2 linked regions of the Caenorhabditis elegans genome follow. The protein of the gene in region 1 interacts with the protein of each later gene in a pairwise test. Each region holds a gene or a part of one and is shown in the gene's direction. Other genes may lie near its edges.

Region 1 (15,341 bases):
TTCTGAAAATTTGAAGTCTTGAAAATTGTTTTGTTTTCTCTTGTTTTGTTGAACCTACTACCAAGGGTTGTGATCTAAATATTAACCGGACCAATGATACCAATGAAAATTGTTTGATTAGATAATTGAGTCAGAACCATTTCGCAACACCACTACACAGAAACTAATCTCGTTTCGTCATCACAAGTCATATTCAAATAAGTTGGTGCACGGTACATCGCTGTGAGTCATGTGGGGCGTCTTATCAGTACATTCAAACTGCATATAGAACCTATTTCTTCTATTACTTCATTGTATAATCAACGATTTCATTATTTATCCTTTTAAACGGTAAACCACGTTTTGGTGTCTTTCAAAGGTAAAATTCAATATTGCTTTAAACACTTTTGGAATATTGATTTGAAATTTTAATGTACTTGAATTTCATCTTTTAATCGTTGAACTGTTGAATGTGCAAACCTTTTGAGTATCGGATCAGAAGATTACACGTCAGTAGAACATGCGCGCGATTCCTATGGTCTTTCACCGTAAGCAAACCAGCTTTACTTCGACAGTTCATATCTCGAATTGTTTTGGCTTTATCAAAAATTGTTTAACTATAAAAATATGGAATAATAATTGGGACGTATTTTTACTGTTAAATATATTTTTAGTAAGGGCACCGTAAGATAAGAGCTGTCAAAGAAGAGTTAAGGGAATGCAAGACTTTCAGGTAACTCACTTTGTTGAACTTATTCCTAAGTTATTGCTTTTTATAAGAGGATTTCAAAAGATTTATTAAATTTGCTTTAAGCAACTTTAAAAGTTAAAAAAAAATTGATGAATGTTATTTTCCAGTGCTAATATACCAACGTAATTTCAAATTTAGGTATTCTAGAAAGCATGTAGCAACTGAAAAATTCATCAAACCCAGTTCATGACTCACATTAACATACATGAAAAAAGGCGGTCACTGCGTATTCTATTTCATTTTTCCATTTTCAATCGTGTGACTATGCCCGGTGTAGTTATTCAGAAGAGAAACATCAACGAGCCTTTTGTCAACAACTCCATGTTTTTGCATTACTTTTCTCTCTTCTCTTTTTTTCATTCTCTTTTGGTTTTTTCTAGATATATTATGAAATCATTGCTAACTTTAACAACTGTTTTCAAGGTTAAAAAATTAATTGTTCTGAAGGAAAATTACAACTTGAATACCTTCTGAAAGCTTAATCTATATTTAAGTATGTTTTAGTAACTTAAATTTCAAGATATTTAAGCATGCACTAATTTCAAACTTTTTTATATGATAAAAAATGTGGGAATTATTTTCTAACTCTCTATCATCAATCAAATATTTGTGCTCCGCGGAGCTCACAGTTTCTCAATACTTTTTTCCATTTTTCCCAGGGTCAATGATGTTTACCTTAATTTTGAACTGAATTTATCATACATTATCATGATCAATGATAAATTTTTAGTTTAATAACTGCTTCAGAACAATTTTCACATGAACTCAGATAATACCCTATCAAGTAACATACTTCAGTAAGTACCTATATTCAGGAATGCTCTCGAATTTCCATTCTCTTTTACTCTTATTTCCACATCACTATTTTCTATTTCCAATGTGCAAATAAACGTTTGCAGTCTCTTTCTGTCTCTTCATCTCTCGTGATTGTTAGTCATCGGCAAAAAATTTTGGACTGCCAATCGCTCACTCCACTTTTTGAGGCTGCTGATTATTAATTTATTGATTTCAAGTTCATTTCAGTTAACAGAATGGAGCAAGGATATGGAGCCACAACAGCTCAAGATGATCCAGATGGAAAGTACAACTTGCATTTCTCGTAAGTATTATTTTTTAAAGTCTGAAGGTTACCCTAGACGAAATTGTTGCAAACATTTTTTTAATATTTTTTGATTCACTTAATTGTTTATTTTGTTTATACAAAATAACTGGGCTTTTCCAGACCAAACATGGTTTTAGGCTTCTGAAAAAACAAGCACAAACAGGCATGATCGCTTTATAGGCGACCTATTCCTACTATGTACCTATATGCGTACCTACCTGCCAATGTACACGAAAAACATCTAATTTCCTAGTTAAACATTTAAAAAATCAAATAATTTGATTAGAGTAATTTAGGGGCAACTTCCTGTTAAAAATTGGCAATTTTTTTTTTAAACTTGCTGGCAATCAGCAGCTTTTAATGTTTTTTTCCAGAAAGTTTCTCCTAAATTCCGAGTTTTCACGTGTTTAAGCAAACTTTTGGTTATCTTCTAAGTATATAGGTATATGTTAGGCGTGCCTACATACCTTGGAAGACTGTGCCTCTCTTTTTCCCAAAAACAAAGACATTAACGAACACATACGTTACAAAATTTTGAATAAACTTGGAGATCTTAAACTTTTTGATTTTCAGAAGTCAAACAGTCCGGGCGGCCTTCGTCAGAAAAGTGTTTATGCTTGTCACAATTATGGTTAGTTTATCCAAAATGACTTTCAACAAACCTGTACTTTTCACATTTTCAGTTTGCCATCACAGCAGCGTTCTGTGTAATTCCTATGGTATCAGAACCGTTTCAGGATTGGGTTAAGAACAACTTTTGGGTATATTTCATTGCGATGTGAGTTACAATAGAGTTTTGATTATCTTCGAATGATAATATAAATTTCAGAATTGTATTTTTGGTTGTTGCAATTGCGTTGTCTTGCTGTGGTAATTTGAGAAGGCAATTTCCAGTCAATATCATTCTTCTCACTATTTTCGTAAGTTTTTAAGTAAAAAGGTTTTTAAAAAGTGGTTTTTAGTAGGAAGAAAATAAAAACGTTACAAAACGTATTGTAAGGTTCTATCACATTCCAAAAACGCAATCATTATTTTAGAGAGTCCCGGGCCGCTTTAAATTCTATTTTCCTAATTTTAACCACTAAAATCACGTGGTGTCAGGCTGTCCCATAACGGCTTGATCTACAAAAATGCGGGAATTGTTTCCCAAAAATGTGACGTCAGCACGCTCTTAATGATGCGAAATCAGTTGAGAAGTCTGCGTTTAAATTCCCGCAATTCTTGTAGATCTACGTAGATCAAACCGACATGGGACACTCTGACACCTCGTGGACAATAGTTTTTTTTCTTTAAAATATATGTATAACCATGAACATTCTTGACAAGATAACTTCAATTTCTTTCTGGATATTTCAGAATTCTTAATGTGCTTTGAGATAGGGTAGGCTACGGTAGGATTGCTGGAAACATGTGTTAATTTTCGTAAAAGGAAATCTAAAATTATTGTATATTTCAGACTCTCTCGGCAGCAGTCATGACAATGTTTGTTACTGCTTGTTATAATGTTCAATCAGTTTTAATTTGTCTATGTATCACCACAGTATGCAGTGGATCAGTCATTATTTTCTCGATGAAAACGAAATCAGATTTGACGAGCAAAATGGGAATCGCTTTCATGCTTTCAATGGTTCTTTTCTCATTTGGAATCTTTGCACTCATCTTCACTTTGGCATTCAATTGGCAATTCCTTTATTCCGTTTATTCTGGACTTGCTGCTCTTTTAATGATGTTCTATTTGGCTATTGATGTACAACTTCTGATGGGTGGTCGTAAATATGAATTATCACCAGAAGATTACATTTTTGCTGCGATGGAAATCTTTTTGGACATTCTGAATATCTTCCTGATGCTTCTCAACATCTTTGGAAGAGGTCGTTAGATCTTTTCACATTTTTATATGTTTTATTGTTTGCTGTAAATACATGTTTTATTTCATTCAAAAATATATATTAAGTTTCATTTCACAAATAATTACGAGTTTAAGCGGGAAAGTAGCGAACGAGACATCTTAAACAACAGCAGTTTTCGTTTCTTTTTGTTAGAAATTTTTCGGGGTGAGGGACAGAGCAGGGGACAGGCAAAGAAGAACAAAGTGAACTACCAGTGTGTAAATTAGGCATGGAATCTAGTATAGAACAGAAAAAGAAGAAGGAATTGAAGAATCGAGAATCGATGAAGTCGGGTGAAGGCCGTTGTTTAGTCGCTGAAAAATACAATAATTAGGTTTACAAGTTGATAAAAAGCTTTTCACAACATAGAAACTGAAAATTGTTGCTTTTATCAACCAAATGATTCACATATTATCGAAAAAATACGATCGCACAAATTTCTCATAATTTATTTTTGATCTACCCTGTTGACTAGGCTCCTCCCCTTCCTTCGACAAGACAGCCACAACAAAATAACAGCGGCAACAAGATTGGGGGAGGAGCCTAGTCAACAGCGTAGATCAAAAAAAAATTATGAGAAATTTGTGCGATCGTATTTTTTCGATAATACACATTCATTTAAATTGGCACAATGTTACTAATACAGCGTTAGTGAACAATGACACAAAAAAATCTAAAAAGTAAACGTGCCTTTTGAAATACCACAAACTCAACCGCCTTACCACACGAAATGTGATAGAGAAATAGAAGATTCAGTTTCTGGAAATAACCAGAGGGTTTATTGAGAATGTCTAGCTAAATTTCAAAGTTTCCCAATGAATTTCTTACCTGGATCCGAACAAACTGAGAAGGAACCAGAACATCTGGACAATGTCAATGAAGATTTGAACAGAAGCAAAAATATATTCTTCTGGTGAGATTTCGTATTTCTTTCCTCCCATCAGCATTTGAACGTCGAGGAAGAGGTAGAGCATCATGATAAGAGCACCACCGAGAGCATATACCATCATCAAGAACTTGATCTTGAAGAACATTGAGCAGATCACGACAACAAGTCCGAAGAACATGAAGCACATTGAGATGATTAAGATATATCCCATGTGGCTGAAAATTTAGTATTTCGGATATATTTTTTGAAGATCAGTGGTTATAAATTATTCGTCATCATTCTAATTTCTGAACTAAGTTTAGTTTTTGCCAATTTTGCTATTTACAAAAATTAATCTGCGTACATCTTGTCAGAACATATTTAATATATTAAAAATTAGTTTCAAATTCGACTAAATAACCTAGGTACCTTAAATTTCAGAAAATTGGTGCTTGTTAGAGTATAAATCCGCTTATTGCAGGTTTAGCACAGCATTTGAAAAAAAGATTTGATTTAAAAAAAAACTTACGCAGTCAAATCGAATTTCGTCTGAGAGGCGACAATGACAATGGAGAACGTACATCCAATGCAGATCGCCAATGCCAGAAGAACCACGTTAGCATCATGATGAGCTGAAATGACCATGGTCATAACTGAAGTTGCTAGAGTCTGAAAACGATTTTTGGATTGATAAAGGGAAACTTGTTATATTAAAATGAACTTACGAAGATTCCAGTGACAATCAAATTAACTGGGAATTTACGACGAACTCCTTCACAGCAAACCAATGACAAGTAGGTAACGAAGAAGATTACACTGGAAATATTAAATATTAATCAAGATTTCAATTTATGTACATACTAGGACCCAAGGTAGAGAGCCGAATTTCTGCGGACCATTCTCATCGTATCATCATGAACCCACGGGATAACAGTGACTGCGGCAACGATGCAAAGCTAAAATTTTTTGAAAATAGATTTAAAACTTTTTGAAAGTACTACTTACCATGATAAAGACCAAACTGAAAACTTTTCGAACGAAAGCAGCGCGGACAGTCTTATCAGAAAATTGGAATGAATACTTTCCATCTGGATTGTCTCCACCACCGTGTTGCCCATTTTCCATCTGATTGAACATAGCTCCGTGCATTGGTGGCGGTGGTGAGAAATAGGCTCCACCTTAAGAATATTGAGGTTTTGAATCGTTTTAAAACAGTTAGTTGTGAAAATATAATTTAATACGTTTCAATGTAAAATTTTTGAAAAAAATCCACCTTGCGCATTAACAAATTTTGTCGATTTTTTTTCGGGTTTCCTTTGGTATTTCGATTAATGACGTCACATTACAAAAATACAATTAAAAAATGATCAAATTTATTGATCGAAGAGCTAGTTGCTAAAAGTTTCGATATCTTCTTTACTTATTTATTTTGGAAGTTAAAATATTCTTAATTTATGTCTAACTTCTGATATCGCTGACTTTTTTATTTTGTTTTTAAAAAATCTCTCACCTTGATTTTGATTTTGTCCGTCGCCTGTATTGAATCCTGGTGGCGGAGGGCCTTGATTGGGGTAGGGATTCTGATAAGCCGGGTTGTATGGCTGTTGATTGTACGACATATCTGGAATTAAATAATATTATTGAAACGAAAATACAAGAATAAAATGTAGTCAACAAGTGAGATAGAAGCAAAAAAGTATAGAATTTCATGGAAATGGCAATTTAAAAAGTCCCAGTTGTTTATCACATTACTCGAGTTTCCATGGAAACATGGTTCTCCAGCTCACGAGGGGAATTTCTCGTCTGTTTTCAGACAAATTCTAGTAGCTAGAGAAATGTGCGTCAGTTATAGGAAGAAATAAGATTATTTTAAGGCTTAGAGGGAAAGTCATATCTAGATTGAAGGATTAGAATGGTTGAGAAGATGAAAATAATTTGATTGTTTTCAGGAATGAAGAATTTGTCATATTTTAGTTTAAAAAGATGAGCTTCTACAGATTTAGTATTAAAATTGTGTGTTTTATACTGGTGCTCGGATTTTTAAGAAGACAAAATATTATAGAAAGATTTTCAGATGCAGTTACAAATAACTCAAACTCCGGTACTTTCTGGTGTTGCTAGAGCACGAATTTTTAGCGTTCGAGCAGAAAGAACGAATGTACTCATATTTGTCGATAGGAAAGTAAATACGCTCAACGTTCTTCGTTCGAAAACTGAGACGGGTATTATCTTTCTCATTCATGCCTAGACTTCAAATAAGTAGAAAAACCAAAATGCAGTGGAAGAAGAAGACGTGTGATTTCGCAACAGAATGGCACGTCTTCTTCACTTTCACGAGAATGCAGCATCGGGCAATTGTGATGAGATCTCGTTGAGAGAAGAGACGCAGTAAACTGACCAAGGCTTTGGATATCTGCGTCTCTATTGTTTGCAATGGTCGGGGTTTGCCTCGTCAAAAAAAAATCGATGTCGACCAGAAAACAAGAGTTTTAAGTAGTTCTCAATATAGAGCATCTATTCAAAAATGTAGGTTTTAGTTTGAACGGTGACTTTTTTGTATTGTCGGAACAAGAACGACGTGATAATCTATGAAAAACAGGAACAGAGAAAGCAATGAAACGTTGTCTCTCTTTTACTCGCCAGGTCAAACAAAAAATACAACGACCTCGGCCAAAGGAGAGAAACAAGAGAAACGCATGTGTTGATGCTCGAAGACCACTACTCTTTTGAAAAAGCAGTGAAGCTTAAAAGCAGTGTTTCACATCTAACACTGGAACATGAATCGAAAGAAAAACTATATCATAGAGATATAGAAATTTTTAAAGTGAGGGAACAGTTGTATAGAATGAAAAATGTTGAGTCACCGTTGAGAGATCAAGAAATCTCTGTAGAAAAACGGAAGAGATGAGGAGAAAGTGAAAACATCAAAAGTTTGAACAAAAAATTTCATCAACAATAGTGAGATGATCAATAAGTTAAATGCTAACAATCTCGAAACTTTTACATAATTTACTAAGTTTTTCTAAGCTTAAAAAAATTCCAGACGATAAAACAGATTACAAAATCCAAAATTTTATTAATTTTTTAAAAACTTTGTATGATTTTGATTCCCTACGGAAGACAATAGAAGGGAAATGAAGAGAGAAATCGAAAAAAGCGTGAAAATTCATCGCAGAATTTCTACAGTACACTTAAAGGCGCATGCGTCAAAAAATAGTTCGCGGGGCGACACCCAATCGCGCGCTATCGTGCGTCTCCCTTGAAAGCCGTACAGTAGGCTTGAAACTGGTTCAAATATATTAAAAGTAGTTTGTTTTTTCGTTTTCGGAAATAAAAAAGCTTTTGAAATCCCCTACCATTATCAAGCTTGATATAAAAACGATATTTGTTGGAATTCCCGTTCCAATACATTTCGCTGAAATTGAAATAAACTTTCATTTCAGTTCAGATAAAGTTTGAAAAAGAACACGTAAAAATATTACAAAGTTCTATTTTTTAGGTTATATATATAAAAATAACAACACGCGTGTGCCGTTCGGTTCGATTTTTAAAATATTTATAAACGATTATGGACCGTTTCATCGAACAAATTGGAAGTTTTTTAAATCTAATCTATTTCATATTTACGTAATCTAGGAAGATAAAGGAGAAAAAACAGGATTGGTTACTGTATGTTGTGACTTCTATCGTAACTAATAATAGGCTAAGTTTAATATTCACAAAGAAACTGTTTGCGTTTTTAATTCCAAACTTACCATTATTCTGTAACAGTGGGCCTTCGGCCTGATTAGGATGAAACTGTTCATTGCTCTGTTCTGAAAATAAAATAATATAAACATGTTTCTTATAAATTTATTCACCTGCTGGAGCACTAATACTTTTTTCAGCTGAAATCTGAAATTTCGTGGAATTACGACAAATGCCCTGAAATTTAAACAAAGATAAATGTGAGCAAGAGAGTCGAAAGAAGAAGAGAAAAAAAGCTTATTTGTTAATAGTCATTCGTCAGGCAAACATGAACAGTTCTTTTCGCTTTTTTTTTCAGCTTTTCAGTAAGTGAAGGTGCCCTATAACTTGTGAGATTTCTGTTTTATTCTGTTCTACTTAGTCATACGAGAAAATTCTGTTAAGATCATGGAGAGTTTCAAAATTCAGCGAGTTGCATCTTTGTAGTCAGTTGAATATAAGTTTCAATTGTATAGCCGTAGATATTAAACGTTTGGAACATCTGAAAATAGTTCAGAATGACATTTGGTTTTCTCACATTGCATTTTTTGAGCTTAATGTAGTCATTCCGAAAACAACTAGATCAGAATCATATTTTGGCAGTTAAGTTTTTGCATTTTTGGTTTTTAGCAGAGAGTCAATAAAAAAGTACTTAAATTCTATGGCTTGAACATTGAAAATTGCTTTTAAGAACATCGGCATTTCTTGAGTTAATTGTTTTCTTAACTTTATTCTTATATTGTATTCTAAACTTAAGTTAGCAGAATCCATACTTCAAACTCGGATCACGCCTGAACAGTTTTGGTAACTTGTGTTGATTTACAAAAAATCTAAACTTATATAGTTTGAATTCCACCAAGTACAAGTTTATGATGAAACCCAACACATGTGTTAACACATAAAATTTAAAAAAAAACCTTAATGGCCATTTTATCAATTTCGAATGAATTGATTGATTTTTCCTTGCTAGCTCTAAAGCATTATTCAGTTTAAAATAACAAGCAGAATATGAGAAACAACATTACATTTAGTTTATTAATCTTTCAAAACGGATAAGAAATAAAGTTTTGCTCGTTTTGCAGTTTGAATAACTAAAATTACAAATAAAATTTAGAATTTGTTAGAAAGCAGAGAATTGAAAAAAAATTGATAAAATTTGTAGTTCGAAAATCACTTTCTTATCATTTTTTGTTGATTATGTCGTATGGGTTCTGTGCGTTGATAAAACAATTTATTCAATAAAAAAGATCGTAGAAAGTACTTGAATATTCATATTTGACAACTTTAGGAGAAACCAACAAGAGAAGATATATTTTTTATGAAAAAAAAAATAAATAAAATCAGGACCGCACCGTAGTGCGCCTTCATGACATCTGAGCGCATCCGAAAACATTCTTGAAGAGAATGTTAAGAAGAAATCAATAAGAATAGGACATTTCAAAAAATTCTATTAAAAATATATACAACAATATGACAAGTTGCGTATCGAAAATTTTCTTCAACATAAGGAGAACACAAGATTAAAAATATAACTCAAAGTGAGTAAAGCTCAAAGCTTTGATTAAGAGGTAGACATAGAGGTGTTACAAAAAATAAAATAAAAAGGTTTAGAAAGAAAAGAAAAAATTGGACCACTCATGATGGAGAGTGCCATAATGACAACGGCGGATTAGGGATGTTTTAGGCTAATGAGCCCAGATTCAGACTCCTCGGAAAGTTCGCTTTTGGATAAACGTTGCATTGCAGTATTCTTCGAATTGGAGCACTTCAATTTTGATACCATCTTTACGGAGGCTCCGGCATTTCTCAAAACACTGAAAAATAAATTTGTTTTATGACACACTTGATTAACTCGAATTGAACGATTAGAATATCGAATGAGATATCTTTGAAAAACGTGGTTCCTGGACTGACGCACTGCTCCAAAAATGTATCTCAACCTAGGCGAACAATTTTTGGGGTGATATCTATCCACTATCGGATTTTCCGCTTGCCAATTGAATTTTTTTTTTAATTTTCTCCGTTTTAGGATGAATTTTATAGACGAGGGAATGGATGGGACGAACTCCAAAATTGTTTGCCTGGACCAAGAAAAAGTCTGCAAATCGCAGCCGTTTTTACAGAGTTGGAGATAATTTAATATTTTTAAACTTGGCTTTGGTCAACTAGGGATCCTTTCTTTAAAACTGGAAAAATTAGGACTACGTACTGAAATAGGCAGGAGCTGAAAAAACCATAAGACAGATTGCACCGAATATTTTCAATTTACCCGTTTGTCTAACTAGAATAGGCGAACTGAAATTCTGTGTTAACAAAAACTCACTTTATACAGTACATTATCCAGAAGCGAGCAACTTTTGATGCTGTCCAGACGTGTGGCAGCGTCGATGGAAGGGCTGGTCATGAGGTTCTTGCAACGATTCTCACATCTTCTTCCAGAATCGTTTTGGTCGTTGCCAAACACGGAGCAGCACACGGAGTCTGAATAAAGACAATATGAGATTAGGGCGTGGGATGGGCAAATGGGCGGGGCAATCAGAGAGGCGGAGTCAAAAGAGACAGGTGTTGGCATGTTTTACGTGTGAAGAGGCAAATAATAGATCGATAATTAAGACAATTTGTCCCTCAAAAATAACGATTTCTTTTGGGAAAGTCTCTTCTGGGAAATCGTAAAATTATAGCAATTCTGTGAGTCAAATGCATTTGTAAGTTTTTCTATAAACCTCATATTATCAATAAAATTAGTGAATATTCACAACTTTACAGAAAGTAGAAATTTCTCGAATTTCAGATTTTCAAATTAATTTATATTAAGACAATTTCTGCTCAGGGGAACGCACCTAAATAAACCAATTAAGTTCTGTACTTTTTGGATTTAATCACGCGTGCATTTAGTTTAGTAAGATTACTGTATTTTCTCTAATAGTATTGCACCACATTATTTTAATTGAAAGCTTTATATCTCACTATCAACTCATTTTAAAGATATCAATAAATTTTAACTGCAAGCAATTGAAAAAGAAATAATAGTTTCTCAATTGGCAATATTTGAATAGAACAAACGCTAACTAAAATATAAGCTGGTAAAATTGAACAATAAGGTCTAATACAATAACGGGGAATACGGTATACATTATTTGAGCACTGATATCTACCTTCATTATGAAGTTTCACTTTATCAGCTATTCGAGAAAAATTTGAAAACCTCAGATGTAGCTGAAGCTATGATATTTGTAGTCTCAAAAAACATTGTTCCCGTCAAAACAGCTATGTTTGCTCTACGCAATCTAGTTTCTCCTGGATGGACCTAATCGACGCGTTTTTCATCTCATTTGATCTACCACTCTCTTACATTATATCTCGTCTACGGTATCTCTCATTTACCGTAGTCTCTCATTTCCCATATACTCTTTTGTTGCAACTCGACACACATGACGGTATTGCGGACTCTTTTATGACGACTGTAGATCGTAATTCCTATACCGTATGGCAGATCTAATAAGATGAAGGACCAAGCACACCTGGATTGGGAGGTGTAATGAGGAATAGAAAAGCAAACTGTACAGGGGTGAGAACAAGAAAATACTTATTCAATATTTATTAGCTGATGCCGTGCATTCTGATATATTTGTAAATAAAACAGATTGCTCCCGGCGGCACTTAAATATTTTCTTTCTAACGAAAAATGCAAGATGTCAAAAGAAAAAAAGCAACTGCTCTGCTCCTGTAGGACAATTGTTGCAGGGGAGTCTCCCATCTAATCAATACACCTAACAAAAGAGTGAGTCAACTGATAAAAGGATAAACATGCAAAGATATGGTATCAGTGCTCGCAGTAGAACACTCTTTTATCTTGGAGAGATAACACGAGAAAGATCAAAACAAATTATGAACATTATCAGAGAATTCAAAGACATTGTTATCATAATTTTTATGTTTTCATAAATCTATTAAATGATCAAATGAGTAGGCGAAATTAATTTTTTTTTAACATTGTAGAGAACAAGTATTGAAAAATATTAGAGCCAAATTCAATACTGTAAAGTTTTTTTTTGGCCATGAATATCTCAAAAACAAATAAAGAAGCCTATTTTAAAACTTATGTTAAAACGTAGCCCTAATAGAATTCTGAACGAAAAACGTAACTTTTTGAGGCTAAAAAATATATTTCTAAATAGTTTGAGGGTTTGAAGAATATCTACTCTCGAAACATGATGACAGGTGGTACGCAAGACACAAGGGTCCGTCTATTCTCCCTGCGCAATACCAATTGCCTGCACAACCCTAGGACAATTGAACGGACCACCTAGAACAAGTTGCAACTTTAGAGTTGAATATCTCAAAAACTGAGCCTGAAACATAATCAAAAAGTTTTTCTAACAAATAGAGCATGTCAAATTCTTTTAGAAAACTTGGTTGTTACATTACCAAAAATTTTTTGTAGATGCTTTAGGTGTTGTCAAAGTGATCCCTATTTAGTTGAACAAGGTTCCAATGTTATTGAGGGAAATATTACAATTCGAAATGGAAGAGGAAACTATTTACAGGAAATCAAACATTATTATAGATATGAGAAAATGTTTAAATGCTAGTTGATAAGTGTTATCAATAACTGGAAATGTAGTATGTTGAAGTGAAATCAAATCAGGAAACTATAGAGAGCTTAAGTTGCTTCAAAGACACGGTATCCTTGACATTTATCACAAATTTACTGATATCAGTAAGCTTCAAATTGTTAAAAGCCTGACCGACTTTGAATATATCGATCGAGCGTATGGTGGCGACTGCCCAATGCCCGAAGCCTTGTACCTCTCTGCGCACACATACGCACTATCTTCCTCCTCTTACCATTGTCTACGTCATCGTACTGCATTTTTTCTAATTTCTAAAATATCGAAAAATGTTTGAACAATTTTTTTACTATATGATAACATCTCGTTCTGCTGTAACTCGGATTATGGAAATGCCCAACATTTGCTTTCGAACTTAGCGGTGAAACTTCAATTTCCAGTTTAATTTCACATTGGCAGAAACTTTGTTTCAAAATTGGTAAAGTATTCGTTTTATAATTTAAAGTGAAAAAATAATAGCCCTTATGAATTATTCGAATAATCATTCTATCATAGTTATAATTGATTTCAGCAAGAGAGAGCGCGAACATTCTAAATTGGGGTTAGTTTGAAGACGTTTTACGTGTTATTAAATAATTTTTCAAATGATAATAAATACTCAGAAACAAAGACTTTAATTTTATCTTTGTTTTGGTATACTTTTTAGTATAGGTTGCAGGCTCAGTTTTTGTGATATAACTCCTCAAATTCAGATATTCTTGAAGTCTTGGGCGCTTTCTTCAAATATTTCTCCCATACATTGCATGCCATTTTTAAATTTCAAATAGTTAAAGATAAGTAGTAATAATAATCTTACTCATGAAAAATTTCAAACGCTCTCTCTTTACTTACGTTCTAACTATTATTTTGAAATCAGAGAAGCCTCTGATGATTTACTTTGATTTTTTTCAAAACAATTTGAGGCAAGAATATTAAAAAAAAAATGTTCAAAATTATTGAAAATTTCCAAAGAGTATACGAATGAAAGAGGCAGAAAAGATATTGTGACTTTTCAATGCGTGTGGTCTTTCTGCCTCCGGCCAATCAATGACCTCACGGGCGGGCGCTATGCCACCGGTTTCTCGATTTTCCTCAAGTTAAAACTAACTTGTACATACCGTATTAGTCATTTCCTATATTTCTTAAGAATAAACAAAACTTGATATCTTGGCTTGTGAGGAGAATTTTACCTGAAAAAAAAACGCTCACCATCCAAGTTAATCTTTTTCTTTGGTTCTTTTGCAAACAACACATTTTGAAGACATTTGTAGACATATCCGGGTAGCTTCGGATCCCTGTCATAACCACATCGAATTGGGGTTCTAAATTATACCGATTATCGCATTGTTCGTGCTCGTAAAAGCGGTTCACCCAAATTTCATAATTTCAATGCAACATTCTTGACGGTTTCTTGTACAGCATTTCTCAGCTGCATCTTTGATAAGTTCCTTTGTTAATGTAGTTTCCGTATAGCCAAATGATCCGAGAAACACAAAAATTGGGAGATATCTCATAATGCAACGTAAGGAAAGGGAGGAGATTTACTACTGTAGGTGGACAAGATGCGCTGAGAAAATAGAAGCAGAAGGTAGGAGGAATATGAGCAAGAGACGACTGGTGGGTTCAGTCAGGAGATAGGCATCCCTGCAGTGTCATTTGGTTGAATGATGGATATAGAACCTGAAGAGACTTAGATACTCAAAGAAAGTTAGACAAAGAAGGTACATACAGTGCTCATGTATGCTCCTAAGATATAATCTACTCTCAGAAGCTGAAGAACTGGTCCGTTGTTTCTGCTTAATATATAAGAAACTAGGCAAAACTATACTAGAAACTAATTAGTTCATGTTTGAAACATATCTGCTCGTCAGTGACGTCACTCTCAACAATCTCATTAAATCCTGTAAATACAACTCCATTTTTTAAAAGATATGAAAAAATGTATAATTTAAGTGTTGATTTCACAGAATATGATTATTTCTTTGAAAATATTGAATTGATTGAGAGCACCTCTCAATCTTAAATTATGTTTTTTAGAAGAAACTTTCATAAAACCCCAGTAAATGTTTCGAAGAGCCCCTCGCCGAACAATTTCCAATTAATAGATATCTTTATTTTCGATCACTATGTTCCAATTTTGTGCCTTGTCAACTTTACTTTCATATCTATTTTCAAGGTTGAGGATTAATGCCGTAGATGATTGATACAATAGTTTTACAAAATAAAGTTTATCAAATTATACTTTATCGAGCATACTGTAACCGTTCTATATGTTCCAATTGACTTCATTTCGTTTCAAACATGGTATGTTCCACCTTTGACGGTAATTGATATGATAAGGATTGCCAAATTTGCGAATATCCTGCATAACAATTTGTTAATTGTCAGATTGAACTACCAAAATACTCATGAGACA
Region 2 (17,004 bases), on another chromosome or scaffold:
TGCCCTCGCTGCTGCCAAGAGCCAACTCGACAACGAAATTGCCCTTCTCAACAGCGACATCGCTGAGGCCCACACTGAACTTTCCGCATCCGAAGACCGTGGACGTCGTGCTGCCAGCGACGCCGCCAAACTTGCTGAGGACCTCCGCCACGAGCAAGAGCAATCTCAACAACTTGAGAGATTCAAGAAACAACTTGAAAGCGCTGTCAAGGTATGTTCGCTTTAAGAATTCGCAGTTTTTTGGCCGTTCAGTGTAAAAGCGATATTTGTTTGTTTTAGAGTGTGCATCTTTTCCCACCGTCGCAACTACTTATCCTTTTGCGCGTCACAGATTTAAAGATTGTGTAAATAGAAAAAAAACGATCAGTTATATCTTTCATCCAATCCATCTTACAGGATCTCCAAGAGCGTGCCGACGCCGCTGAGGCAGCTGTCATGAAGGGAGGAGCCAAGGCAATCCAGAAGGCTGAGCAACGTCTGAAAGCCTTCCAGAGTGACTTGGAAACCGAGAGCCGTCGCGCCGGAGAAGCATCCAAGACCCTTGCTCGTGCTGACCGCAAGGTCCGCGAGTTCGAGTTCCAGGTTGCTGAGGACAAGAAGAACTACGATAAGCTCCAAGAATTAGTTGAGAAACTCACAGCCAAGCTCAAGCTCCAGAAGAAGCAACTCGAGGAAGCTGTATGTTTCATAGTCGATAAAATTTCAATTGTAAATATTATTTCAGGAGGAGCAAGCTAACAGCCATCTTAGCAAGTACAGAACCGTCCAACTTTCCCTTGAAACCGCTGAAGAGAGAGCCGATTCCGCTGAGCAATGTCTTGTCAGAATCCGAAGCCGAACACGCGCCAACGCCGAGCAAAAGTAGATCAACTGCTCTAATTCCATCTCGTTTCTCTCTTTTCTTTCAATCTCTTTACCCGTTTCTCTTCCCCTACGTCCCCCAAACCTACCACTGCACAGTAACACATACACATTCAACGTGTCACAATAAAAGCCCATCAACACCTTCTCTGTTGTTTTTTTTCTTCAAATGCATTTTTTTCACTTTGTTTAATAATTTTTACGCATCGGATTTGTAGGATAGTGGAAATTTGTCCTTCAATGCTTCAATTGATTCGACACTTCTCAATATTTTTGATCAATAAACCATTGATTTTCTATTTAGAAGAAGATCACTGTAAATAACACCAAAAACATCACAGCAAAAAAACTCCCACTCAATTATATTACTGTTTTTATTGAAACTAGAATAAATTTGAAAATCTTCAAAGCATACACAATTAAAAAAAACGAAAAAAGAAAAAGTCCCGTTGATTCTCAAACTTAAATTTTTAAACTTGTCTGAACCATGTTGTAAGTTTGTAAAAGTTTCCCAGTTGTCCTCGAACAGTTAACCAGGGAGATCCTGTCAGCTAGTTTAATATTATTTTCAGCTTTGAAACTAACGTTTCGTGTCACAAGAATATCAAAAAATAAACTTTATTAAAAATATCTAATAATGGTTGAACCACATATTTTACAAGAAAAATTCAAACATATTTACACTTTGTGATTTTAATGCGTTCATAAAAAAAATATCAAATCCTTGTTGGCACCATACTGACAACATGAGACATTGTTGCAGGAGACCTTTCCGCTGTATAAACTTCTCCTCCAATAATTCGTGTGCCGCGTTGACATGTTAAGATAGCAACAGCCACTTTTCGTTTGTTGAGACTACCAATGATCAAAAATATAGGTGTCATGAATGATATAGAAAACGTCATGAACGACTGGAATGTGATGAGATTGATGTTCGTTTGTCCACTTGTCAACACATAAAACTTTGCAACTGTGAAGACCTGCAAATTTAGCATTTGTTTGTGTTGCCTGGTTTAGTTTCTAATCTATCACAGTGCGTGTCTGATTTAGAAATGAACTCAGTTTCAGCTGCAGACTACGACACAATCACAAACTGAGCAACATTTTGATAACTATCTGGAAATAGAAAACAGTTTTTAGAGCTAGTAAAAAAATTGAAATTGGCATAAGTTTTCTCTAATAAAGCAGGTAAAACTATAATTCAAGTCGAGTGTAAACCTATAAAAAATGCGGACTGTTTTTCTAAAGTCAAAGGTATATTGAAGAGAACCTAACAAAAAACTGTAAATTATTTAAAAAAAATTGTAAAAACACAATAAAACTTTCAGATTTCTAAACGTTTGATGTCATTGTTAATGAAACAAATTTGAAATTTGATAGAGCGCATTTTTAAATAAAATATGAAATGAGCATCTCGTATGTACAAAGAACACCTTCCATTTATTGACTTTAATTAATTTTTCAACATTGCAGAAATTATGAATTTAGCTAAGGCAAAGCCCTAAGAAAAAACAAAGCAGGTTTCTGGACGAACAATTCCGCAACATTTTTTGGCCATTAGAAAGATAATTTTCAGCATGATAAAAAACATTCCTCTTCTAGGTATCATAATTATGCACGTCAAAACATAAATTGCTCGGTAAGACTAAAAAACTGACCATTAGTAAAATAGCAATTGGCACTGTTTGCAGCAATACAGTAACGTGCGCAGACATCCCCGATCTGGATCTTTTATCGATGTGGCGTATTATTATGATGCTCAGCAAAAGCATAATAAGAGACAAAACCATCGTGATCATCTCAAGCTAAAAACTATCATAGTATTCAGAGTATATCGAAAAATTCTCACCCATGGAATCTTGTTTGAAGCAAATATTTTGTTAATTGCAGAAATGATTGCAACAAAGTACAACATTGTCATGTTGAATGTCAATCTGGCTCTGCAAAGTTTAGATATGTTAAATTTTTTTGACATGTTTCATCAGTAATTACCCCGTCATCAGCTTTCTTCCGAGTTTTTCAATAGTAAGAAGCATGAATCTTTGCATGGAGGAAATGAAGATAAGGTAGTAAAATATTGTTGCAACAATTAGAGATCCATGAATTAGTAAATTTGTGAACACTGTAAACAATTTCTGTACATTTAAATTTATAACTTTAGCTTACGCTTGTATAAAAAACGAATCCATTCAGATTTTCCAGTGAACCCGTCGGTTACTCTTATTATCAAAAGTATCATCAAAACTATAAACGATCCAACAATGTGAACAGAGCTTAATGTCACCAGATTGAAATGAATCGCATAATATGATCTCTAAAAGTGCACCTTATTAAAAATGTACTAACGCAGAATAATGCTAAACTCACTTTGTCGTCAGTCCTTTTTGTCATGTAGTACAACCAGACGACTAAAACAAATGGTACAACACCAATACATGAAACTGTGAAATCTAATTCATGCTCAGCATCTTGCTGAGCACTTGAGTTGCTAGAACTCATATCCAAGAGTGATTAAACTACCAAGGGAGTGTAAGAACCACAAATGTTTTGTGATTGTCAAATATCAGATTGCAATTTTGGAGCAAAGACTTGATCAGCCTGTTACGTTTCAAAGCCTTGTTCAAATACATCTACTTATTCTAGATTTCACCTGTCCCGTTTTGTAAGGACATTTGACGTAGTAAGTTAAAAGGTTATTGAAAATTAATGCTAGTGCATAAAAATATCTAATGAACATATTGATAGCAAGGCAATGCAAAAACGCGAAGGTTCTAATTACCGAAATTCAGAAAGGTCCTGAACAATGAAGACAGACATTCTTTCATACATTTTTATTTGCGTTGGTGCAATAGAAATATCAGAACATGCTCTTTGCATTTAATGTTTTCTGTCAAACGGATAAAAATTATTAAAAAAAAAAATCTCGCCAATGCAACATTTTGAAGAGAATCTAAGTGAAACCAAAATAAGAAGTGATAATCGAAACTATGTTTGTTTCTAATGCACAGTCTTAACCAAAAAACACATTTTCATGTAAAAAAAAACTATAATTCGCAAACCGTTTTAAAGTGATATGAAGTTTTGAACTTGGAGTTTTTGAAACATGACGATTTGTTCGAATCAGCATGGAAGGCTTTCAACTAAATTAAAAAGTGATATAAAGAGCAACAAAAATTTTTATTCCACGGCAATGTTAGATTCAATTGATTGTTTAAAACTGCCTTTTTGCCAACCTATCGGTTGCAACTGTTGGATATAAACTTTTTCGAATATTCTAGTATTTTGTCAGCCGTTAAAAAATGCGTTTTAGAAGTTGAAAACCAATACTTGAAACAAAAACTAATGTAACTAAAACTCTGCAAAAGCTTCTAGAAAACTAAAATAACGTTCATTTTTGACATGGAATTGGAATTATAACATATCTAATTAGAGAGCCGTTACCAGAGATATTAGATTTTTTAAAATGCTAAACATATGAGTGCATTTTTTCAATAAAGCTTTAGACCGATTTTGCCGGAAATTGACTTCTACGATAGATACACATATTACTAGTTTAATCTATTATATTCAACAGTTGTTCAAATTTGTTTGCGTCCCCCCGTTTTCCTGCTTTATTTTCTTTCTCGTTTGCACTAACAATATGAATTGTATGCCCTGTTTCATATGTTATAAATACCCTGTTATGATGAATACACTTGCTGATAACAATAAAATTAACAACGTTACTCTTTAAATATTAACAGAGGAGAGGGTATTCGATAACAAGCACTTTATGTTTCAGGTAGTATCAGAATTGTCCTTTCACGTGTTTTCTATAATGATAGGACGGTTTTATGAAAATATTTTTTAAAAGTATAACCAATTGTTTTCCAGTTTAAGTTTAAATTTTGAGCAACATTCATTTTTCAAAATAATTTTTTCACTTAAAATATTTTTTTAATAGTGAAAACGATGAAGATTTTACAAATGTTTTTCCCCTAAAAAAGGGAAGACATTTTTTTCACAGCAACTCGCGTTATATCCTTCAAGTACTTTTTTTTATTTTTTAACATTTTATTGTAGTAGCTTCACCAGTTATATTATTCCATAGCATCATGTTTAATCACTTTTTATGGTTGAAGCTTCTGAATTTGAAAGGTCATCACTAGCTTTCAATTTAATTTTTTTTATTTCACAAAGCATCGCCCACTTTCCACCCCACACAATTTATTTTATGAATCGCTGCTTGGATTGCCCAAAAGCACACACAAGTGCACATTGGTCCTCGTACATAATTCAATGCCATAGTAACACACTTAGCATCCCCCGGCCGTTCTCGACGACGATTAGTGTAGTCCTAGCCAAAAAGTGTTCACTTGCACTTTTATTTTATTCAAATGAAGTGCGGTTCCATTTGGTGCTACTATGCTACACGTCACGTCGTTTTTTTTCCACTCGTTCTTTTTGTGTATACTAATGCAAAGTGTTTGTTTTTCACTGCGGGGTAAATTTAATCAACAGAGGTTCATATTTCTTGTGTATTGTTTATAAGATCATTCTTGTTGATACTTTTACTTTTGGAACAGTTTTGACAAGAAATGTTAGCTTTTATGTACTAACAAATCAAAGTGTGATGTGAAGAAATACCAGAACTTTCAAAGCCACTTGCAAGAGTATACACAATAAAAGTTTTCGTCGTCGATATTATTTGAAAGTGTTCCTTTCTTGGAAAAAAATTTCTCATGATTTGCTTTTTATTGGTTTGGTTTTCTAGAAGACATTGTTTAATATTTGAAGAAAATTGTCGGAAAAAATACTTGGGGTTCACTAAAAAGTTATTTTTCAAAGTATTTAGAGATTTCTTATTAGTGTAGTTGCGCGGTTATCGAATTTTGTATTTGAAAATTAAATTGTATACATACAAACATTGCAATATCGCCTACCTTACTACCGTACTAATTTTCCATCAAATTGTAGGGGTGTAAGATTAATATAAATTGCAAGAATTATTTTTGTGAAACTGATTTGACGCCAACTAAAAATATGAATGTTTTTCCATTAGGAATTTCAATGGCCATTTTAACTTCGAAAATTGACTTTACCCTAAAAACAAAAAAGTTTACAAAACAAATATTCCACAAAGTATTGCTCGCCTGTCAACAAGTCAATGCTAAACTATTAGGAAACCCAATATTTTCTCTAATACAACTACAGTCACAGGACAATCTATTATATTGTAGAATTTTCTCTGCATATTATTGAAATTTAAAACTTAAATTTGGTTTGGTCTTTTTTTCAAACCCAGTGGATGTTCGTCTGTTGAGCTTTAGAAAAGAAGGCAAACAGTATTAGTCAATGACTGATAAAATTATGCACAACCGAAATAAAAACTAAAGACAAGTAGAGAAAATACAGTATATCATTTTTTTTTCTATGAATTTTTGCTTTAATTAGTGGTTTCTTTATTTGGTTTATAAAATAAGATCGTAAAGTAATATAGCCGCTATCCCTTCCCCGTTTATTACCTTACTACTATACTTTTAGTGACCCACTTTCCATTTTTTGTCCGTCTTCCATTTTCGCTTGCCCACTCCTCTTCCTCCGCAACAAAAATTCTGCGACAGAACAAACACTGCGAGAGCGCCACCTCGTCCTCATCTACTGTGGTGGCCTTCTCACTGTCACTGTGCCGGGGACTCTTTTTCTCTGACTCTGCCCCCCCCCCCCTTGCCTCTCCGGTCGTTTGACCGGCGTACTGGCAGTGTGCCAGCCGGGGTCGTGTGCAAACGCGCTCCGTTGATATTTCATTGGATGCTATCCTTAATCGTCTTGCCCTCCTTTTTTCATGGTCACTTCTTTCATCTACCTGATTTTCGTTTCTTGCTATTGAGATATATCTAAGATTTTTTTTTTAATCTTACCAGTTTCTAAAAATGTGATTGAGTTTTAGGATTATTTGTCTTTAGAAACCTATTCTTCTCTTTTTTTTCTCTAACACTGTATTTCAAAAACTTTTTAAATTTCAGATGAACTTTGACAATACGGTTCATGAATCAAACTTTGATGATCTCCTGCATAACCCAAATTTTCCGCCGCAATTTGACCAGCTAGAGTTGGACGTGAGTTTTCTTTCTGTGTCTTGAAAGGACCACTAATACAAAATATCGATTTTCAGAGCCTACTTTACGGGACCGACGAATCACAAGAATCGACCTCTTCCTCTTCGTTTGGTTTCAGTGATCAGAATGCTGGATTTCGCTCAAGAGACGGCGGGAGTTTAGGAGATTCTTCGTCGGATAGCTCTCCACCGTTGAGTTGTGCAAACTTCACAGAAAATGACCAGGAAATGTGGGATTTTGGCTTTCAAGTAAGTTGTTTTTTTTCGCACAAAACTCGTTAAAAATGTTTGTCGAAACGGATCGTTTACACTCTATTGTTTAATGGAAATGTGTTTTATTTTAAACAACCTTACATGCAAGTTGTTGTGTGTATGATGTTTGCTCCTACCATGAAAACTTAGCACGAAGACAAAATTTTCCTACAGAATTACTTTACTTTTAATTTCGGGGTACGGATACTACACAAAATCTTGTTCAAAATTTAATATCAACTACAAAATCCTAATCTATCAATATCATACTTAGTCGTTTGTTTTGCAGAGTCGCAGTCCATTCGAGAATTTTGAGCAACAATTTGGCTCTCCATATCAGGACGACGAAGTGATTGCCGAGCCCACCAATGAATTCATGAACGCAAGATACCTCAGAGAAGAACCGGCCAAGCATTTGCCCATGCAACAAAAACGAATTATCACAATTCTCCCCAAACAGTCACAGCCTGTGAAACGTATTGTCAGCAGACCAATCCAGAAAGTATACCGCGTCAAGGAATCACCCGGCAGTCAGCAACAAACATACCGAGTTGTTCAGCCCTTGGTGAGCGATTGAACGTCAAGTAAAATAGTTTATTCGAATTTTTTTCAGATGCCATCTCCTTCACAAGCTACGCAACGCCAAATCAAGCAAATGTATTACAATGAGCCGGTTCAAGAAATTCATATGCAACCAAAAAGTGGTCCGCTGGTTCGACAAGTGTCCGAAGAGCCAAGATACGTTCCAATTGCTCCGACAGTAGATATCAAAGCAGAACCACAAGTGAGCTTATCTTCAAAACATATTTAAATTCATGACTTTACAATTTCCAGGTTTTTACTTCCGAGCAAAATCGAAAAATTCGGAACCGAATGTACGCCCAAGCCTCTCGCATGCGCAAGAAGGAAGCCGATGAACATATGAAAATGAACCTTCAGGAACTGCTTCAAGAAAACGAGATTCTAAGAACTGAGAATGCCGCTTTGAAGCAACGCCTTGCGTTTTTTGAAGTAGTTCTGAACTCATAAAAATTTTAACATTTTAAAATACATTTTCAGCACGAAGAGCCAGTTGTCGAAGTTCCACAACCCTTTGGAAGAAATCAGAAGAAAAAAAGAATTATTGCTGCTGGTTCAGTACTAATGATGTTCGGACTTTTTGCAGTCATCTCTCCATTTAATGTCGATAACAATTTGAATATAAACAATCAAATCATGGCAATTTCCAACGAAACTTCTATGGTTGCTCGCCACGGAAGAGTCATCACGTATGAAGATAGTGCTCCTGTTGCAAAAATTGTATGTGTACGAGCTTAATATTTAAAAATCTCTTATAAAAGTTTAGCCTACTCAACAACCAATCCACAACTATCCGAACTCCACTCAAAATGATTGTGATATGTACAAACTAAACGCCACAGAGACAATAAGGTGAGGGACTTGAAAATGAACAATTTTTATAACTGACTACTCTTTTCAGAGTAAACAACGACATTGAGCGCTGGGTACAAGTACATTCATTTGATAATGTTCCAATGAAGTTTTCGGGAGGACTATTAAATAAGGAAGCAATGCGAAAGTTCAACTACGCACAGAAAGTAAAACCAGCCTCAGTTTATGGACCACAGACATTGGCGGTTCAAAAGAAATCAGAGCAAGCGGCGCTCAGATCTCGGGAACGTACATGGAAGCAGTTGGATCTACTGAAGACGTAAGTAGACTTTTTCTTTAATTTAAAATTCATAATGACACGAATGGGCACACTACCGACGTAATCGAACTTCGAGTTCATGTTTTACTTTGTTCACTTTGTATTGAGATGACATGACCGTAATTGCAAACGAAGAAGTCGGACCAATTGAAAATTATTCAAATGCATTTGCAATTCCAGCAGCAAACAACAAAACTATTTCAATAACATGTAAATAATAATTAATTTAAAGCGGAAACAATATTCAACTGGATAACGAGAAAATTCAACGTAAACGACAAGATATTGACAAAATCGCTTCAATTGTTCGCCAAAAGGGAGATACACTGTACATTATGACACTTCAAGACTACGTGCTTCTGCCTTCATTGATTAAAGGAGCAAACTCGGTTCCCAAACTATCGTTGCTCCTGCCTAGTGTTCCAATGAATGGAACTCTCCAAGATCAGGTAACTAGGGAGTTCAAAAAAATATGATTAGTAAAAAAAAATATTTTTGTTAAACTGTAGGCATTGATTTCACAACTGTCAAATTTGCCTTCAGTATCAGAAAAAATATATTAATTGCAAAATTCTCATGTCTCTGTAAGTTTCCTGACGTTCAATGCGAGTTATTTTTTACAGTGACTTTAATTTGAGATTTAGAAATGAATTGATCACAGCCATTGGTTGATTGTAGTTTTTTTAAAATCAATTTGAACGTTCAAGTAGTAGGAGCAGTTATATTTGTGTAGATATTATCAAAAATGTCACTAGTGTTACGTTGCATCGTTATTAGAAAGAGAGACTTTGAAATTTTTTTTTTGATTTTTGGATTAACGGTTTCTTTCATTCTATGGATCTATAGAGTATTAACTGTAACTTTATATGTTTAATTTTGAATTGCCAGAATTTTGACAAAAAAAATTACCAAAGTAGAGCTCTAAAACTGTTGAATAATTCCAAGCTTTTACAAGTTGCAGTTAATAAAATAAAATTTATTCAACCAGTTTAAAAATTGATTTTACAACTCTGAGATATCATGTAGGAATATTGCTTGTGCTTGCCTGCGTGAGATTTAACGGATAGGTTTTACTCGGCATGTGTTCAACAGCTGCAATTTTTAAACCAGTTTCGTAATATGTGCAGCTTTTAGCTAGATTCATATGTAGGTTCACTTCAGTTTTATTGAGTTCAATTTTCAGTATACTCTTCTTCGAGTTGATTGTGAAGTGACAGGGACTGGCCAATTGACACTTTCCAACAAGCAACTTTCATATTTGATGCCGTGATACTGATATTGATCAACAACTACGCTTATTATATTCCCACTTTTCTCAATTTCCGTGCCTTTTTTATTCACCCACTTTACCTTTCTTCTTTTGATTCGTTTTTATCAATCTTTTATGTTAAATATTCATTATGCATTTCTGAAATCGCCGGTCACCGATCAACCTCTTTTTGTTGTACCCGTTTTCGCTGCGTCTCTCACTTTACATCAATCATATTCCGGTCTTTTTCGATTGTCTTTATTTCTCTCAAACTCTCTTATCTCAGTCTTATTCCTATTCCAACACATATGTATTGTATATTAATTACCATTCGTTTTCTCATCATTTTACCAGTTTTTCAGAATTTTATCAACCACAAAACTCCATACAAAATATGCCAGTCATTGTCTCACCAAGTTCTAGTTGAAATCACCCAATTCTCATAACATAGTCATTCAGTTACACCACCATTGATGATATTCATCTTTCATGATATGTTTTATTTTGAAAGTCACTTTATTAATCTCGGGGTCTTAATTTATATAGTTTGATGTTCCTTTTTCTATTCAAATTCTAATTATAAGTGCCTAATTATCTGGGATTTTTGCATTTTTCTTGTCAATAATTATCTAAATGAAGGGTTCAAAATATTAGTTTCAAACGAAAAATTGGGTTCTATGTTTACCTGCACTGGTTTTTCTACTAGCTTTGTTATTTTCCGTTTGTTTCTACCTATGTTGTCTTTTCTCCTCCTTTCTTTTTTTTTTAAAACCTTTTTCACCTTCTACCTCTACCTTTCAGAATGACGTCTCGATATATGGAACGTCTTGCAAAAATCGAGGAGGTACTTCTCATTGCAAATAAGAAAATCGATATTAACGAATTGAGAGCCGGGTGTAGCTACGGAGTTCCCGAATCTCTGCGACCGTTGGCATGGCGTTTGCTTCTGCACTATCTCCCATTGGAGCGTCACAAGTGGCAAACATTTTTGGCCGAACAGAGAGATAACTACGATCAGATGATTGAGCAGATAATCGTGGAGCCGGGAACAGCGTCTTTGCAGCAAAGTGCTGCTCAAAATCAGGATAATGATCATGTATGTTTTGTTGTTTCGTTAAAGTTTAAAGAATTCAAGTTAAATAAAAGAAAGAAATAATGTAGACATCCCATAGATTCTTGTATTCAAATATGTTATTCCCCAAAAAGTTGTTTTTAAAGGCAAATACACTTTTGAAATTACATGACAAACAAGATTTCAAAAAAAAACTTCAAATTGAAAGAATTTATACAAAATTTGAGTTTTCAACCTGTCTATAAAAATTACTTGTTTGAATCCTACAATGTCTAGATACAATTTATTAAAATAGACTCAAAACTTGAAAATTATAGACACAGTTTTTCTAAAATTGTAATATGTATGTGAGGACTAAGTGAACTTTTCGACTGTAAACAATGTAATTTTCAAACAATTTTTCCATCAAACTTCATTATTTTGGCAATGTTAAAGTGGTTTCAAAATTTTCTATTAGCACTACTCCACAGTTAAAATTTTATGGATGGTGTGTCAAATCAATCCAGTTAAAACATAACCTTTTTACTCTATCAGTTTGCCGAATGATGTAATATACTTTATTAGCTACGATATAACATTATTTTTTTAAAGCATTGAAATTGACACAAGCAAAACTGAATAACAAGTTTTTAATCCATAAAAAGAGATATGACTTCTAGAAATAAAGATTAATTTTTTGAAAATTGAATTATCTATCACCAACCTATCCGGGACTTTCCACTCAGTAGTTCACAAGTTAGAGATGTTTCATTTTTCTCATTTTGAGGTGCGCTACAGTAATCGCATGGGTTAAGTTCATCTGGTATTTCTTTCTGACCAATTTGCGAAACTATTTGGATTGTTGACTGTTCTGAACTTAGTTTCCAAACTAGTATTTATTATTATATTTATTTTGATTTGAATGTAAAAAAATTGATACTCGAATTAACAACGAAAAACGTTTGCTTTTAAAGTTGTAAGTCCATTTTGTTTAGCCAAGAACCCTTTTTTTTTTCTAAATTTCCATGATCCCGTTTTTTAGAAATTCTTTAGATTCAAAACGATATCAATATTTCGAAAAGGTGCATCCCTCGTTAGTTCAAAAAGAGAAAAAAAAACAAAACTTGTGTTCTGTTTTTTGCGTAGGTGCGACACAAAACTTTATGACTCTAAGATACGTGGGAACTTTCGAATATCAAGTGCGGAAACGTTTTTTCTTCTCAGAACCTTTAATCTACTCCCTCAGTTCGGTTTTCCCAAGCGCTCCGAAAGTGTAGGTGGCGGATAAGAAATTAAACATCACAATTTATACTATTATAGGAACAGCTCAAAATAGAAAGCTTAGTATGCCACCTAAGAGCAAGAACCATATATGAGCTCAAAAAGAAATATGTTGAATAATTAAGGATTTGTAGCTTTTAATCTTATTTCAAAGAGATTATCTATACTTTTTTTACGCATACAACTAAATACATTACACACCAATACAAGTTAATGAAATTAAGAATAGATACATATTTGTTCATGATTCATCAAGTTGAAAATATGATGCATATCTCATATCTGTATATCAGTTTAAAAAATACAATATCCCATACAAATTAAAAATAAACTATGTACAAAATTGCATTTTTATTTTTAACAATTTGATTTATTAGTTGTTTCATTCTTCTTATAATTTGTTTGCAAGATATGAACAATGACTGCAAATTTCATATATCGAATTCTCCCAGACCATTTAGAATTTGAATGGATAGAATCTTCAATTCTATCACTAACATTTAATTGATCATTCCTATGATGTTTAAAAGTGTGCACTCAACAAATCCATTTTTGATATTTTATTCATTTTTAATTGGTAAGAGAGAAATAGAACAATATTAAATCTCCTAAAACTTGAGCACTCTAAAAAATGAATGAAGAATTAAAAAGCGCTAATCTAACACTAAAACAATTTTTGTACTTGAGATATGGCGTGTATTTTTGCGTAATCGTTCGAATGGACAAAATTGAATGGAATGTAAAGGATATTTCATCTCAAGTTCTTATACTGATCAAAAGATAACTACTTGAGATTATTTAAATTTGAAAAAGTTCCTCGTTGGGTTCACCATCTGTTTATACCGGTTTCGTATGCTGAGTGACACATTTTGTTACTTTGTTCCTTACGCGCCCTTCACAAATCAAGTCCATGTGAAATGAGTTGACCTGCCGCCACCATTTTTGTCGGGACAGCAAACCCATCTCAAGTGGTGCAGGAATGCATAGACAACGTTTTTCCTCATAGCTAATTCAGACAAAAAAGCGACACAAGACATATCTACGTCATCTGAGCGTCGGGTTCCGTAGTTTGATCAAACGATCGTTAATGGAGGCGGGTGACGATATGTGAATTTGAGCAGGAACCCACGTGTAGTTAAAGGATGTTCGAGAGCACTTTTGACGGATTAAAATTTCCAATTATTTTGGGCTCAACAATGACAAATCTGAGAGAAATGATTCGAAAAAAAGGGATTAAAATAGATACGTCAACCAACTATTTCAATTCATTCTATCAGAAAGATGACTAATCAAATTGCAAACATTTTCAGCCACTCTCCGACCATCCAACCAGTGACTGGCAAGCATTCTTCCAAGACAACAAAGTTCTTTCACAAATCGACAAAGACGTTCGCCGACTGTATCCAGAAATACAATTTTTCCAACTGTTATCCAGATTTCCACATCAGCATGGAATGAAGTATCCCCTTTCTCGCAGAGTCATTAATCATCAGGAACTGCATTCACAAGAGTTTGGTGCAAATCGCGACGGAATAGTTGGAGTGAGTCTCTGCGATGTTTTGTTTGTGCCCTGTGTTGATAAATGCTAAGAAAAAGTGTAGATTAGCAGAAACTATTTTACTATCAAAAATTGGATTATAAAAAAAGTTTGCTCTTTTCATGAATGTAATCGTGTTGTTGTTAGAGCAAAAAAGCTGAAAAGATCAAAAAGATATCTGCGCGATGTTTGTATTATTGCAAAATCATCATATAGACGCAAAATATTAACTGAATAATTATCAAATTACAGTGTGTCAAGACAAACATTGCAAAACAAAGTCAAGACGAGAATCAGGCGCCCAATTCAGAATTCCACTGGCATGTAAGGATTTTTGCATGTTTCATTTTAGGGTTCTATTGGCAAAAGTAATTATAGATTTTCAGCAATTTTTTGAGTATTCCTACAAGTTTTCACAAGAGTCTTTAGTCTTTAGAAAAAATTGTTTCAATTTAATGCCAAACATACTAAATCAATTTATTATTAAGATTGTTGAGCGAATCCTCTTCATCTACGCCAAACTCAACCCCGGAGTTCAATACGTGCAAGGAATGAATGAGCTGGTTGCCCCAATCTACTACGTGTTCGCCAATGATGCTGACGATGAATGGGCCGCATATGCTGAAGCGGACACTTTTTTTTGCTTTCAGGTGAAACCCCATTTTTATTCAAACTTTAATAGTGTGCTTTAAGCTTTAGCCAGTGTAAGATCAAGAAGTATTTTTGTATTAGCTTTGTGCGCAGACGTTGGTTGTTGACTTAGCAATTTGATTAGTAGCTTAAATTTATTGAACTTTTTATTAAATTTGTTATTTTTTTACAGCAACTCATGAGTGAAGTCAAGGACAACTTCATTAAAAAGCTCGACGATAGTAACTGTGGAATTGGTATGTGAAAACGATGTTAGACAAGGAAGTGTAACGTTTTCGAAATGCTCCCCTTTCATTCAGCTTTAAATCTTATCATAGGATTGAGCAGACAAGCCAATAATTCAATGACTGATCATAAACACACGCTTGCAAATGTGAGAACATTTCCTAAAGTTTTGAGATTCTTTGTGCTTTGAACTTTAGCTTCTCATGAATGTTTTTTTCAGTGATTATTTTTTTTGCGCAAAAAAGTTTCGCACAAACATCGATAACATCAGTAGTTCTCAAGAAATGGAGGCACACACAAAACACAAATGAATCATGCGTTGCAACAAAATCTTTTCTTTTAGAATCGAGCATGTCAGCTTTTCATAATTTGATCTCAACTTTTGATACGGAGCTTCACAAGCATCTCACACTGACACTGGAAATTAAACCACAGGTAAACTGAAGCTAGAATTTCATGATTAAAAAATGGGTTGGAAATTTTTCCTTGCTTTTTGAAACTATTATACTAACTATACCAATAAAACAATATATCTTGAACTACAAAATCATTAAATTTACAGTTCTACGCTTTCCGCTGGCTTTCGTTGCTTCTCAGCCAGGAGTTTCCACTTCCAGACGTCATCACCCTTTGGGATGCTCTTTTCTCCGATCCTCAACGGTAAAACTTAACATTGTTTCACCATGTTCATGGTTGCTCTTCTTTGTAGATTTGCCCTTCTTCAGTACGTGTGCCTTGCGATGATGGAATTGAAACGCGAGCCTCTGATCAACGGAGACTTCCCATTTTGTGTGCGGCTTCTACAGGTAAATAAAATATTCTCACATCAAAACACAAAATCGCGTTCTCAGTTTTCAGTCGACCTTCATTATATGTAAAAGAAAACTTACAGAAAGTTTTTTTTTCTGAAAATTTTAAGAAATATTTTTGTTTTGATCTCTTTTAATCTCTATTCTATGCTCTTTTCGTTTTCACATTATCATTTAAGATTTTAGAACATTAAAACTTGAAAAGTTCCTGGGAATTCGTGCGATCTTTGCAACATTATGTTTTGTATCCTAATATGAAAAGTCCGGCTTCGCGCTCTCACACAGAGTTCAACACAAATATCAAGTATCACATCTTGATATCTAGAGCAAAAACACGAGACAAGTAGGAAAAGGTGGCTTGATGTTTCTAAATTGAGAGCAAAGTTTATGACAGACTGGGAAACATCAGGTTTATTGGGTTTTTTTTTTCAAAGGAACATATCTTTAAAATGACGCAACGCCTAGCTAAATGTGTCTCACACTTGATGGATAAGATGGCAAGTGACGAATGCGACATTCAACTAGGTTTTTATAGCTTAATTTAAGGTAGGTACTCGAAACTTAAATAGTGCGTGTTTTGAAACATTCATAATCTGTTTTTGTGGTTCTGATAACATGCTTTCAGCTTTTATAACCCCTTTTTACGTAATCAGAAAATGCTTCGAATATACTCTTATGCTCAAAGGTCTATCTAATCCGCAGTTATTTTGTGAAGCAACTAAGCCGACAGATCACATATATTAAAATATAATCACAAGAAAAAAGATTGCAGAGACTCAAATCAAGTCAAACTTTTAAATTTCAGAACTATCCCGACACCGATATTGCAAAAATCGTCGCATTTGCGCAGGACATTCGAGATGGAAAAGCCTTGCGCCCAATAGCCAAGGAAATATCGAAAGGGAGCAAGATCGCAAGGCATGCTCGGCAACTCTCCGACACACTGCGTAATCTGTCAATTATAAAAAAATAGATAATGAATTCAAACCATACAGCTCTCCCTCTCATTCCTTAGGTAGCTTTCAAAATATAGGCCATCCCATGTTTCACTTCTTCCGTTTTCTTCGTTTTTCTTTCTACGTATGTAGTGTCGCAATGTGGAAAGGAAATCGAAATAACATCGGAAACGTTTCGTTACTATAAATAAGATGAAACTTTATACTATATTCAATTTTATTAATCACATTTTTCGTGTAATATCACGAAAACAAAATAGGGTTCCTCATTTCTCTTACACTTTGGTCATTTTGCTTCCCCCCCACTCAACTTTTCACCTACTT

The links.
Region 2: the proteins of tag-120 (region 1) and atf-6 interact in a two-hybrid assay, tested with the Caenorhabditis elegans proteins (one large-scale study listed by BioGRID).

The regions. Positions count from the first base shown.
Region 1 is NC_003283.11:9,696,227-9,711,567, reverse strand, and holds tag-120 (Transmembrane BAX inhibitor motif-containing protein 4), read left to right. Parts: upstream 1-1,753; 5' UTR 1,754-1,761; coding exon 1,762-1,829; intron 1,830-2,405; coding exon 2,406-2,463; intron 2,464-2,515; coding exon 2,516-2,610; intron 2,611-2,661; coding exon 2,662-2,752; intron 2,753-3,288; coding exon 3,289-3,711; 3' UTR 3,712-3,797; downstream 3,798-15,341. Other genes in the region: F40F9.10 (tRNA(Phe) (4-demethylwyosine(37)-C(7)) aminocarboxypropyltransferase), read left to right, coding at 1-22; xbx-6 (Protein lifeguard 1-like), read right to left, coding at 4,474-4,480, 4,550-4,825, 5,119-5,258, 5,315-5,405, 5,451-5,545, 5,595-5,767, 6,100-6,208; Protein her-1, read right to left, coding at 10,016-10,129, 10,639-10,796, 14,135-14,247, 14,297-14,439.
Region 2 is NC_003284.9:12,474,082-12,491,085, forward strand, and holds atf-6 (Transcription factor atf-6 homolog), read left to right. Parts: upstream 1-6,866; coding exon 6,867-6,959; intron 6,960-7,015; coding exon 7,016-7,207; intron 7,208-7,499; coding exon 7,500-7,775; intron 7,776-7,823; coding exon 7,824-7,994; intron 7,995-8,044; coding exon 8,045-8,221; intron 8,222-8,269; coding exon 8,270-8,509; intron 8,510-8,555; coding exon 8,556-8,641; intron 8,642-8,690; coding exon 8,691-8,921; intron 8,922-9,153; coding exon 9,154-9,370; intron 9,371-10,104; coding exon 10,105-10,191; 3' UTR 10,192-10,823; downstream 10,824-17,004. Other genes in the region: myo-2 (Myosin-2), read left to right, coding at 1-211, 397-678, 725-865; F45E6.1 (Serpentine Receptor, class Z), read right to left, coding at 1,578-1,841, 2,520-2,666, 2,711-2,801, 2,854-2,983, 3,028-3,175, 3,229-3,360; tbc-13 (TBC1 domain family member 13), read left to right, coding at 10,973-11,266, 13,813-14,043, 14,292-14,363, 14,528-14,689, 14,863-14,926, 15,259-15,350, 15,478-15,575, 15,625-15,721 and 1 more. UniProt on the Caenorhabditis elegans protein: Transcription factor. Plays a role in the unfolded protein response (UPR), perhaps mainly during constitutive endoplasmic reticulum (ER) stress, by activating transcription of genes involved in the UPR.